Linked DNA regions of Mus musculus. The protein of the gene in region 1 purifies or fractionates together with the protein of each later gene. This does not show direct contact. Links are inferred from orthologs where the notes say so. Each region holds a gene or a part of one and is shown on either strand. Other genes may lie near its edges.

The links.
Region 2: the proteins of Trim24 (region 1) and Ssrp1 purify together in Homo sapiens (affinity purification with mass spectrometry; 3 studies listed by BioGRID and IntAct, with this or other methods). This does not show direct contact. The link is inferred for Mus musculus from reciprocal best matches to the Homo sapiens genes TRIM24 and SSRP1.

Annotation. Positions count from the first base shown.
Region 1 is NC_000072.6:37,943,521-37,947,333, forward strand, and holds part of Trim24 (transcription intermediary factor 1-alpha), read left to right. Parts: coding exon 1-10; intron 11-2,000; coding exon 2,001-2,269; intron 2,270-3,813. UniProt on the Homo sapiens protein: Transcriptional coactivator that interacts with numerous nuclear receptors and coactivators and modulates the transcription of target genes.
Region 2 is NC_000068.7:85,035,604-85,040,150, forward strand, and holds the start of Ssrp1 (FACT complex subunit SSRP1), read left to right. Parts: upstream 1-1,516; 5' UTR 1,517-1,725; intron 1,726-1,847; exon of another isoform or gene 1,848-1,927; intron 1,928-2,172; exon of another isoform or gene 2,173-2,190; 5' UTR 2,191-2,312; coding exon 2,313-2,366; intron 2,367-2,749; coding exon 2,750-2,935; intron 2,936-4,270; coding exon 4,271-4,376; intron 4,377-4,547. UniProt on the Homo sapiens protein: Component of the FACT complex, a general chromatin factor that acts to reorganize nucleosomes. The FACT complex is involved in multiple processes that require DNA as a template such as mRNA elongation, DNA replication and DNA repair.

The DNA.
Region 1 (3,813 bases):
ATCAACTTGGGTAGGCCATTGTATACATTTTCCCTACATGACTGTTTTGGTCATAACATGTTACTGAACATAACATTGCTATTCATTATCTTGTTTATACTCACTGGGAAAACAGTGTGTCATCAATTATATGCATATGGTACACAAATGCATGAATGTATAGTACTTGTTTTGAGATGATATGAAAATACATTTGCTTACGGGGTACCTAAGTTAGGGATTTAGGAGTTCTTCTCCTCATAGAATCCTGTTTGTGCTTGCATTTTTGTTTTTTAGTATGTATGGGAATCTTCCTGAATGTATGTTTGTGCACCATGTATGTGCAGTGCCCACAGAGTCAAAAATAGGGCACCAGATCCTGCTGGAATTACAGAGGGCTGTGAGCTGCCTGCCTGCCATATGAGTGCTGGGAATGGAAGAGCAGCTGCTAAGCAATCTCGCGCAACCCCAAGAATCCTATTTGTATTGTTACCTCTGTCTCTATCAGAGTCTGTTTCCTCTAACTGTATGTGATGTGTGGGCTTTGATGCTTGGGGGGTGTGTGTGTGTGTTACACTTCCCATGCAGCTAGTGAACAGCCTTCTGCCTATGTGTTCGTGTGTGCATCCGTATACTGGTGCCTGCAGAGTCCAGAAAAGGGCATTTGATTGCTGTAGCTGGAGTTGCAGGGTGGTTGTGATCTGCCTAACAAGGGTACTAGAAACAGAACTTGGGTCTTCCAAAAGAACAGCAAGTGCTCTTAACCACTCAGCTATTTCTCTAGCCCCAAGTTACGCTTTGTGCAGTGGGGATAGAGTGGGGTAAGACAAGAAAGGTCTCCTGTGGTTCAGGGCAGCCTACCTTGACTATGTAGTCAACCTACCCAACATAAAATCATGTTATTATGTGACTTTCTTTTCCCCATCTTGCCTTTTATATTGAACTTCTTACTTTGCAAGCCGTAGTAGCTTTGTAGGGGCCAGCACTGTCACCATGTCACAAGGCTGACAACAATTTTTAAAACCATTGCTCAAGCCCCTGTTGCTCAACTGCTTTATCTTACGAATAGAAGATTTTTCTTTTTTCTTCCCTTCAATTTGTTTTGGGTTTTAGGTCTTTTCTTATCCTGGTCAGGTTATAAATTGTGTGAATGTACAGATAGGGAGTGTGTCTGTAAGTAGTTGAAGGATAACATACAGAGAAGTACTCCGTCTTAAATATCAGGACTCATTGAGTCAGAGAATAGCATCTTGGCAACATTAGGAAGTACATAATCTTGGTAAGCAGTGCAGTCGAAAGGAACACTCAGCTCTCTTGCTGTGCTGCTACGTGTATGGAAGGATTCTCTTTGCTCTTAAAGTTTCTCCCAGGGAAGTGATGGGAAGCAAAAGCTCAGAAGCCCCCTAGACATTTCCCCACAGCCAGCATTTCCTTGATGGCACCTTGGTGCCTGGATTTCTTTTAGAGTCATCAAACATGACTGCTCTTCACCCTCAAGACTACATTGTGTGTGAGAAAGGGAGCAGCTGCAGGAGCCAGTGCTTTTCTCACAGCTTACTATGGGAAAGGAAGACACAGGCGTAGACGAATGTCATCCATACAAAGGAAGAACAAAAAAGAACCAGGGAAGACTAGGTGATAGAGGACCCCCACCCAACCACCCCAGCAGGCCAACATGAGACATAAAGGTGGTCATTTGCTTATCAAAATATATAGCCAGAACTAGAATCAAGCACTTTGATCTACCCTACTTAAAAAAAATTACATAGACATACAAAGCACGGGCTGGAAGAGGGCTGTTCTTGAAAGTCTTATTATTTATAAATGAATTCTTATTCTTAGAAGTTAAGTTTTTATAGAATATAAATAAAAACCTCATTGGGACTCCTCCATTTTTAATAGTTTATAGGATCCTGTGTCCAAAATTCTTCGGCAATTAAAGTTCAACTCAGTAGCTATATAATATGTGGTATTTCACCAATTACCAAACATTTTTATCTTGTTCTCTTTTCTTTAATTAGGTTCTTTAGTAATCGAGGATAAAGAGAGCCAGCCACAAATGCCTAAGCAGAATCCTGTCGTGGAGCAGAGTTCACAGCCACCAGGTGGTTTACCTTCCAACCAGTTATCCAAGTTCCCAACACAGATCAGCCTAGCTCAGTTACGACTCCAGCATATTCAGCAACAGGTAATGGCTCAGAGGCAACAGGTGCAACGGAGGCCAGCACCTGTGGGTTTACCAAACCCTAGAATGCAGGGGCCCATCCAGCAGCCTTCCATCTCTCATCAGGTAAATTTGGAAGCAGGCCTGTCCTAACTTAGATAACTATAGAGTAATTGTGTTGAGCAGCTTACAGTAACCCACACACTGCCACCATCTACATATTAAAATTGACTGCATTGAAGGATCCTTGATCTAACATATAGTTTTGAGCTCACCTCCAAACTGATTTAATGATTTATTTACTGTATCTCCTTTCAGCCTCTATGCATTGTCATCAGTTCTGGGAGGCATAAATGTTCTATTCCCAAGTGACTTGTGCCTCTGGCCGATGTTAAGTGTGTCTCACTAAGTCCCATAGGTGCGTCAGGCTGAGCAATACTACGAGAGTCAATTTGGAGGCAGTATTTAGAAAACTACACTTGATTCTAGAAACTAGGACAGTATTCACCAGAGAAAGTCAGGCAGTCAGAATCCTGTCTTTTCAGCCTTTTAATTTTTCCTGAGAAAATCTATATACTATCCCTATTCCTATTACATGTGTGGTGGTCTGTCATTTTGCAGTCCTCTGATTTATTTATTATTTATTTATTTATTTTGACATGTATTTGCATTGTGTGGTGATAAGTGTCTGTGTGCATGTCCTCGTGTACAGGTGAGCATGCACACGTCACATGTGCAGGCCAGCGGCAGACATCAGTGTCTTCCCTTATTGTCATCCACTTGCTTACTGAGACTGGTCTCAGCAAGTGCCTTAGTCACTGAGTCATCTCTCCAGTCCCTCCAGTCTGCTTTTTGCTCTGTGTACTTTTAGTTAACCCAGTTCTATTCAGGTTAGATAGGACATACTAGATGAATAAAGACTTGGTATAGAGGTGCCTCAGTCTCTTTTGCAGAACTTACAACTCTGTTAATTTTTATCTTCTTCCTGTTTGGACAGAAGGGTTAGTAATGATTTTGTAAATGACACAAATGAGCTGGAGTTTCATAAAAGTCATGTACATGGGGCAAAACTATGCTAAGAAGTCTCATTACACTTAAGAAGAAAACTTAGCTCAAACTGTCTTAGCAACAAAAGCAAAAAGGAAACAGGGCTAATACAGAGATGACTAACTGATAAAAAGAAACCATTAGTTAGAAGAACAGACTTTTACAGGATTTTACCAACCCTAGGATATATAGCCTTTTTACTAGCAATTTAACAAAACATGAAATAGCTTTAAAAGAATTCTTCAACACTAATTGAGAGTTACAGACATACAGCATGCTTTTGTTGTTATTTGCCCATTTGTAATGCTGGGACACAGCCCAGACGCCTGCGCGTTGGAAAGCACATGTTCTACCACCACTACGGAGTAAACCCATCACCTTAATTGCCTTTCTATAACGGGGATGATAACTCAGTACCTGTGAAGACCGTACTTATCCATGTCTGCAGTGGCAGACAAATACATGCAAGCTTACAGCCTGCTTTGTCTATAGCATTTAGTGCTGTCATTTATATAAAATCTCGACTGTACAACTTAATTTTCTAACCTAGAAGTACGTTTCACAATTTCCCTTGTGTTTTATTTTTAGCCTTCTATGAGCACCAGTCTTCTATCCTACTACTT
Region 2 (4,547 bases), on another chromosome or scaffold:
ATGCAGCTGGCTAGGGCCCTCTGGGACTTATGTTTCATCTGCACTCTGTCTACTGTTTCTATTCTGTTCTCTTACGCGGCATCTCTATCCCAGCTCACCAGCTGCTTTGTATTCTCCAAAGCCCCTTGTAACTGCCCACTCTTGAGTTAGCTCATCTGCCTGAGCCAAGAACTCCACTCTTGAGTGTCTGTCGATTTCTATCTAATAGCACAAATAGGGAGAAAGGGTTCTTGACAGTTCTGTGTCTCCTGGGAGGAAGACACGCATTTCTTACCATCTCCTCCTCTCTGCCCTCCAGCATCTCATTATGTTGTCTAACTTGTTATGTTGCCATGTTTCAAATTCACAATCCTCCTGCCCCAGTCTTTGAGTGTTGTGATTACAGATTTGTAATACTACAAAGCGGAAAGTCGCTTATTTCTAACTCTAGTTGGTTGCAACTCTTCAAGTTGCACAGAAATTACTGAACTCCCTCTCTTTTTAAACCCCGAAGTTATTAAAATCTTTTGTTAGGGTATGTGCTCCTAAGAGGCTGGGCTATTTTAACGATCTTCAACAGTTTTGTCAGATCCTAGAAACGTGCTGCATTAATAGGTTTTCATTATGTCTTAAGCCCAGTTTGACTTAGCTAAATAGTGCTAGCAATGATAGTGGTTAAAGCCACAAGCACCGAATGACAAAACACATTTTTATCTATATCATATCCCAGGACTGAGTTAGCAAGTCAGTGCAGTGATATTTCAGGGAAACTGTGGGCTTATCCTGTCTTTGTGTAGGACATATGCTAGCAATCACTCTAAACCCTGAACCCTCATGATTATAAAAGGCTGATGTTAAAGAGTCTGTGTTCTAGGTTCCAGTTTTGATGGTAATGGACTGACACCCAGTCGCAAATCTTTTGTGGTCTCATTTTTCTCATCTGTAAAATGAGATAAACTCAAGCATCTCTGTCAGACCTGGCTTCAGATTTTGCAAGATGCACTCCGGTGCTATGTGAGGCCATCCGGGCTTCTGCCAACGTAGGCTGATGTGATTTCAAGTAAGTTCTAGCTCAAAGGTAAATCCGACACCACCACTTGAATTTAATGCAGCCATCTGCTAGGCTCTTCCTGAGAACCCACAAATTAGGGATATGGACAGGATAGTGTTGGGGGTAGGTGAACTCACTGCAGAAAGGATCTGATCTACTTGCCAGGGTACAGCTGGAAAGCAAGCACAATCGCCGACACCCGCATCTCCTTTGCAGCTAGTGGGGCTACACCTCTGTATTTTTCTTGTTCAACAGACTCCTTCCCAGATTATTTCACAGGAGGGAGGGGCGTGCATGATTCCAACAAACATACAAACCTGAACACCTAATAAAACCGCATAATTTCCCTTCGGAATCTAGTCTTTGAAGAGCAGCTTGTAACTTTCTAAAGAGTGTTCCCGTTTTCTAGTCAAGAATTCAGCCGCGTGGGATTCCATAGCAAGCCTCTCGCTTTAGCCGACCAGGGGGAGTGCCGACGCTCTAGGCGAATGTACCCGTTGGTCGGCCCGGATGATGCCGTTCTAGCCAAGTCTTCCTCTCTATGGTCCGTGCGCGACTTCCGGTGGCGGGACGCGGGGCTGCGCACGCGGGAAAAGCTTCCCCGGCATCCCTTCCCCCGCATCCCTACCCCCTCCCCTGCGTCCCCCTGCGCCCACCGCCCTCACTGTGCCGTCGCGAGGCTGCAGCTCTTAGAGGTGGGTGGTCGCGATCCCTGGGCCCCTGGTGTGCATGGGCCCCGCTCCCCCGCGGGACGATCGGAATGGATCGATCCGCGTTCAAATTCGCGGGCAATGGGCGAATCCATTTTAAAAGAAGGGGGAGAAACGTAGATTCACGCGGGGCCCCGGGGTGGTGGGGTCTCTGCGATCAGGACACTACCCTCTGAGCGGAGTTGAGGTGCGCTCTCTGAGCGGGTCTCAGGTTCCGCCGATTGTTGCCGTGCCTGTCCGTGGAACGTACCGAGAGGGTGTCGGGTTGGGGTGTAAGCGCCACTATAGGCCTGGTTCTGCACCTAGGGTCCTGGGCCTTGGCCTCAGGAGCCCTGCAGAACGGGTCAGTAAGATCCCCAGGCAGCAAAGAACTTGAGACATACCAGGTACATGGCTGAGCGGAGTAAGGTGGCGTTGTTTCTTGCTTATCAGTCTCCTTCCCGAATTCAGATTCCCACCCTGCTGGACATCTACACAACTAACCAGGAATTGGGGCACAGCATCCAGAGAAGGGTTCGTTTTCTCTGGTGCAGCCTAGGGCTGTGTGCTCAGGCCACCACGGGCAGGTGAACATGGCAGAGACATTGGAGTTCAACGACATCTTCCAGGAGGTGAAAGGGTCCATGGTGAGAATGGCTTGGGCAAAAGAAAGGCAGAGAGGGGGAAAGAGTTCGAATCTATGAACGAAAAGCTTAACTCTGACTACTTTTTTGGAAACAGTGTATCAGTGTGTCCCCCAAGCGAAAACGTGAGCAAAGTCTCAAAGAGTTGCAAGATGTTGAGTTTGTTGAGTTGTATTAGAAAACCAGGAAACTGGGGCCCTTACAGGGTTTCTGATGCCAGAGCCAAGCTTGCAGTCTAGACTTAATGTCTGTTGTGTCTTTTAACTTGATTTCACCACGACCGCTTTTCAATTGATACTCTGGCCATCCTGCATCCCATGGGTAAGGGGTAGAAAGGATCCACTACACACTACCCTGTTCTGATTTTGGGTCTGTATTTTGGGCAGAATGATGGGAGGCTTCGATTGAGCCGTCAGGGTATCATCTTTAAGAACAGCAAGACGGGCAAAGTGGACAACATCCAGGCTGGGGAGTTGACAGAAGGCATCTGGCGTCGGGTAGCATTAGGCCATGGGCTTAAACTGCTCACAAAGAATGGGCATGTCTACAAGTACGATGGCTTCCGCGAATCGGTGAGCGATCTTGTTCTGTGACCCACTTTCTTTGTAACTGCCTTGTCTTTTTTTATTTTTAATCTTCTAGAGACAGTTGGCGTTTCTCTGATAATCATGTTACTGCTCATTTGGGTTCCTCGAAGCAAGGCTGTTGGAGACTATTGAACAAAACAAACAAACAAAAAAAACAGTGTTGTGTATTCAGTACACGTGTCGTGTACCTGGACTCCAGGAGGTTTTCTACCATCTTAACTTATACCATGGTTTCCACTTGCTCCCTCTGTCCTGGCTCAGCATCTTAGCTTGGTGCTCTAGGATTTTGCTTTTCCATTTTGAGCTGCTTTTGAGTTACTTGGTTTTAATATTCACTTTCATCAAAAGATCACCTACACAAAGTTTAGAAACTCAGGTGATGCATGTATCTGGGAATTTAAGTTTCTTTACTACTCTTAGCCAGAGGCCCAGAAAAAAAGTTTTTGTGGTTATTGTTAAAAAATATTTTCAGGGTCTGGAGAGATGGCTCAGTGGTTAAGAGCACTGACTGCTCTTCCAGAGATCATGAGTTCAATTCCCAGCAACCACATGGTGGTTCACAACCATCTGTAATGGGATCTGATGCCCTCTTCTGGTGTGTCTGAAGACAGCTTCAGCGTACTCATATATAAAATAAATAATTTTATTTATTTATTTATTTATTTATTTTTGACAGGGTTTCTCTGTGTAGCTCTGGCTGTCCTGGAACTCACTCTGTAGACCAGGCTGGCCTCAAACTCAGAAATCCACCTGCCTCTGCCTTCCAAGTGCTGGGATTAAAGGTGTGTGCCACCACTGTCTGGCATAAATAAGTCTTAAAAAATAATTTTCATTCGTTAAAAAGTATTTATTTTATCTGTATGAGGCTTTGCTAGCTTGTGCACCATGTGCATGCCCGGTGCCCACAAAGCTCAGAGGAGGGCATTGGATCAGCTGGAACTAGAGTTACAGACAGGTGTGAACCACTGTGGGGCGCTGAGAAGGACTCCAAGGTCTTCTGGCAAGAACAAGTACTCTTAACTGCTGGGCCATCAGGTCTCTAGCACTTAAAAGGTTTTAAGCACAAAGGTTAAGGGAAGGAAAGAGGCTTGGAAGAAGGACATCCTTGAAGAGTAGGGCAGAAGGCATCTGGGTTCTAGAAACAGTCTCCACTAACAAAGGGAAATTGTTTTGAAACAGTTTTGGAGTTGGTATACTCAGTTAGCTGAAGTTCCTGAGGAAGATACATTGGTGACCTGAGCTAGAGACTCTCAGGACCTGTTAGTTGTGTTGAGACCCAGAGGTTTAACTGGATCTGCATTTTCTCCGTTTGATTTACAGGAGTTTGAGAAACTCTCTGACTTCTTCAAAACTCACTATCGCCTTGAGCTAATGGAGAAGGATCTGTGTGTGAAGGGCTGGAACTGGGGGACAGTGAAGTTTGGAGGTGAGTGGGCAAGCTTGAGGTTTGGGGAGAAGGTGGGGTGAAGGAGGGCCTCAGATGGTACCTTTCTGTACTCTTTCCTTGGTTCTGATTGCTAATTTCAGTTTGTGTGTTTAGCATGGGTTTCTCCAGCATGTACGGTCCATCAGGCACTGTGCCTGGTTTTGGTACGGT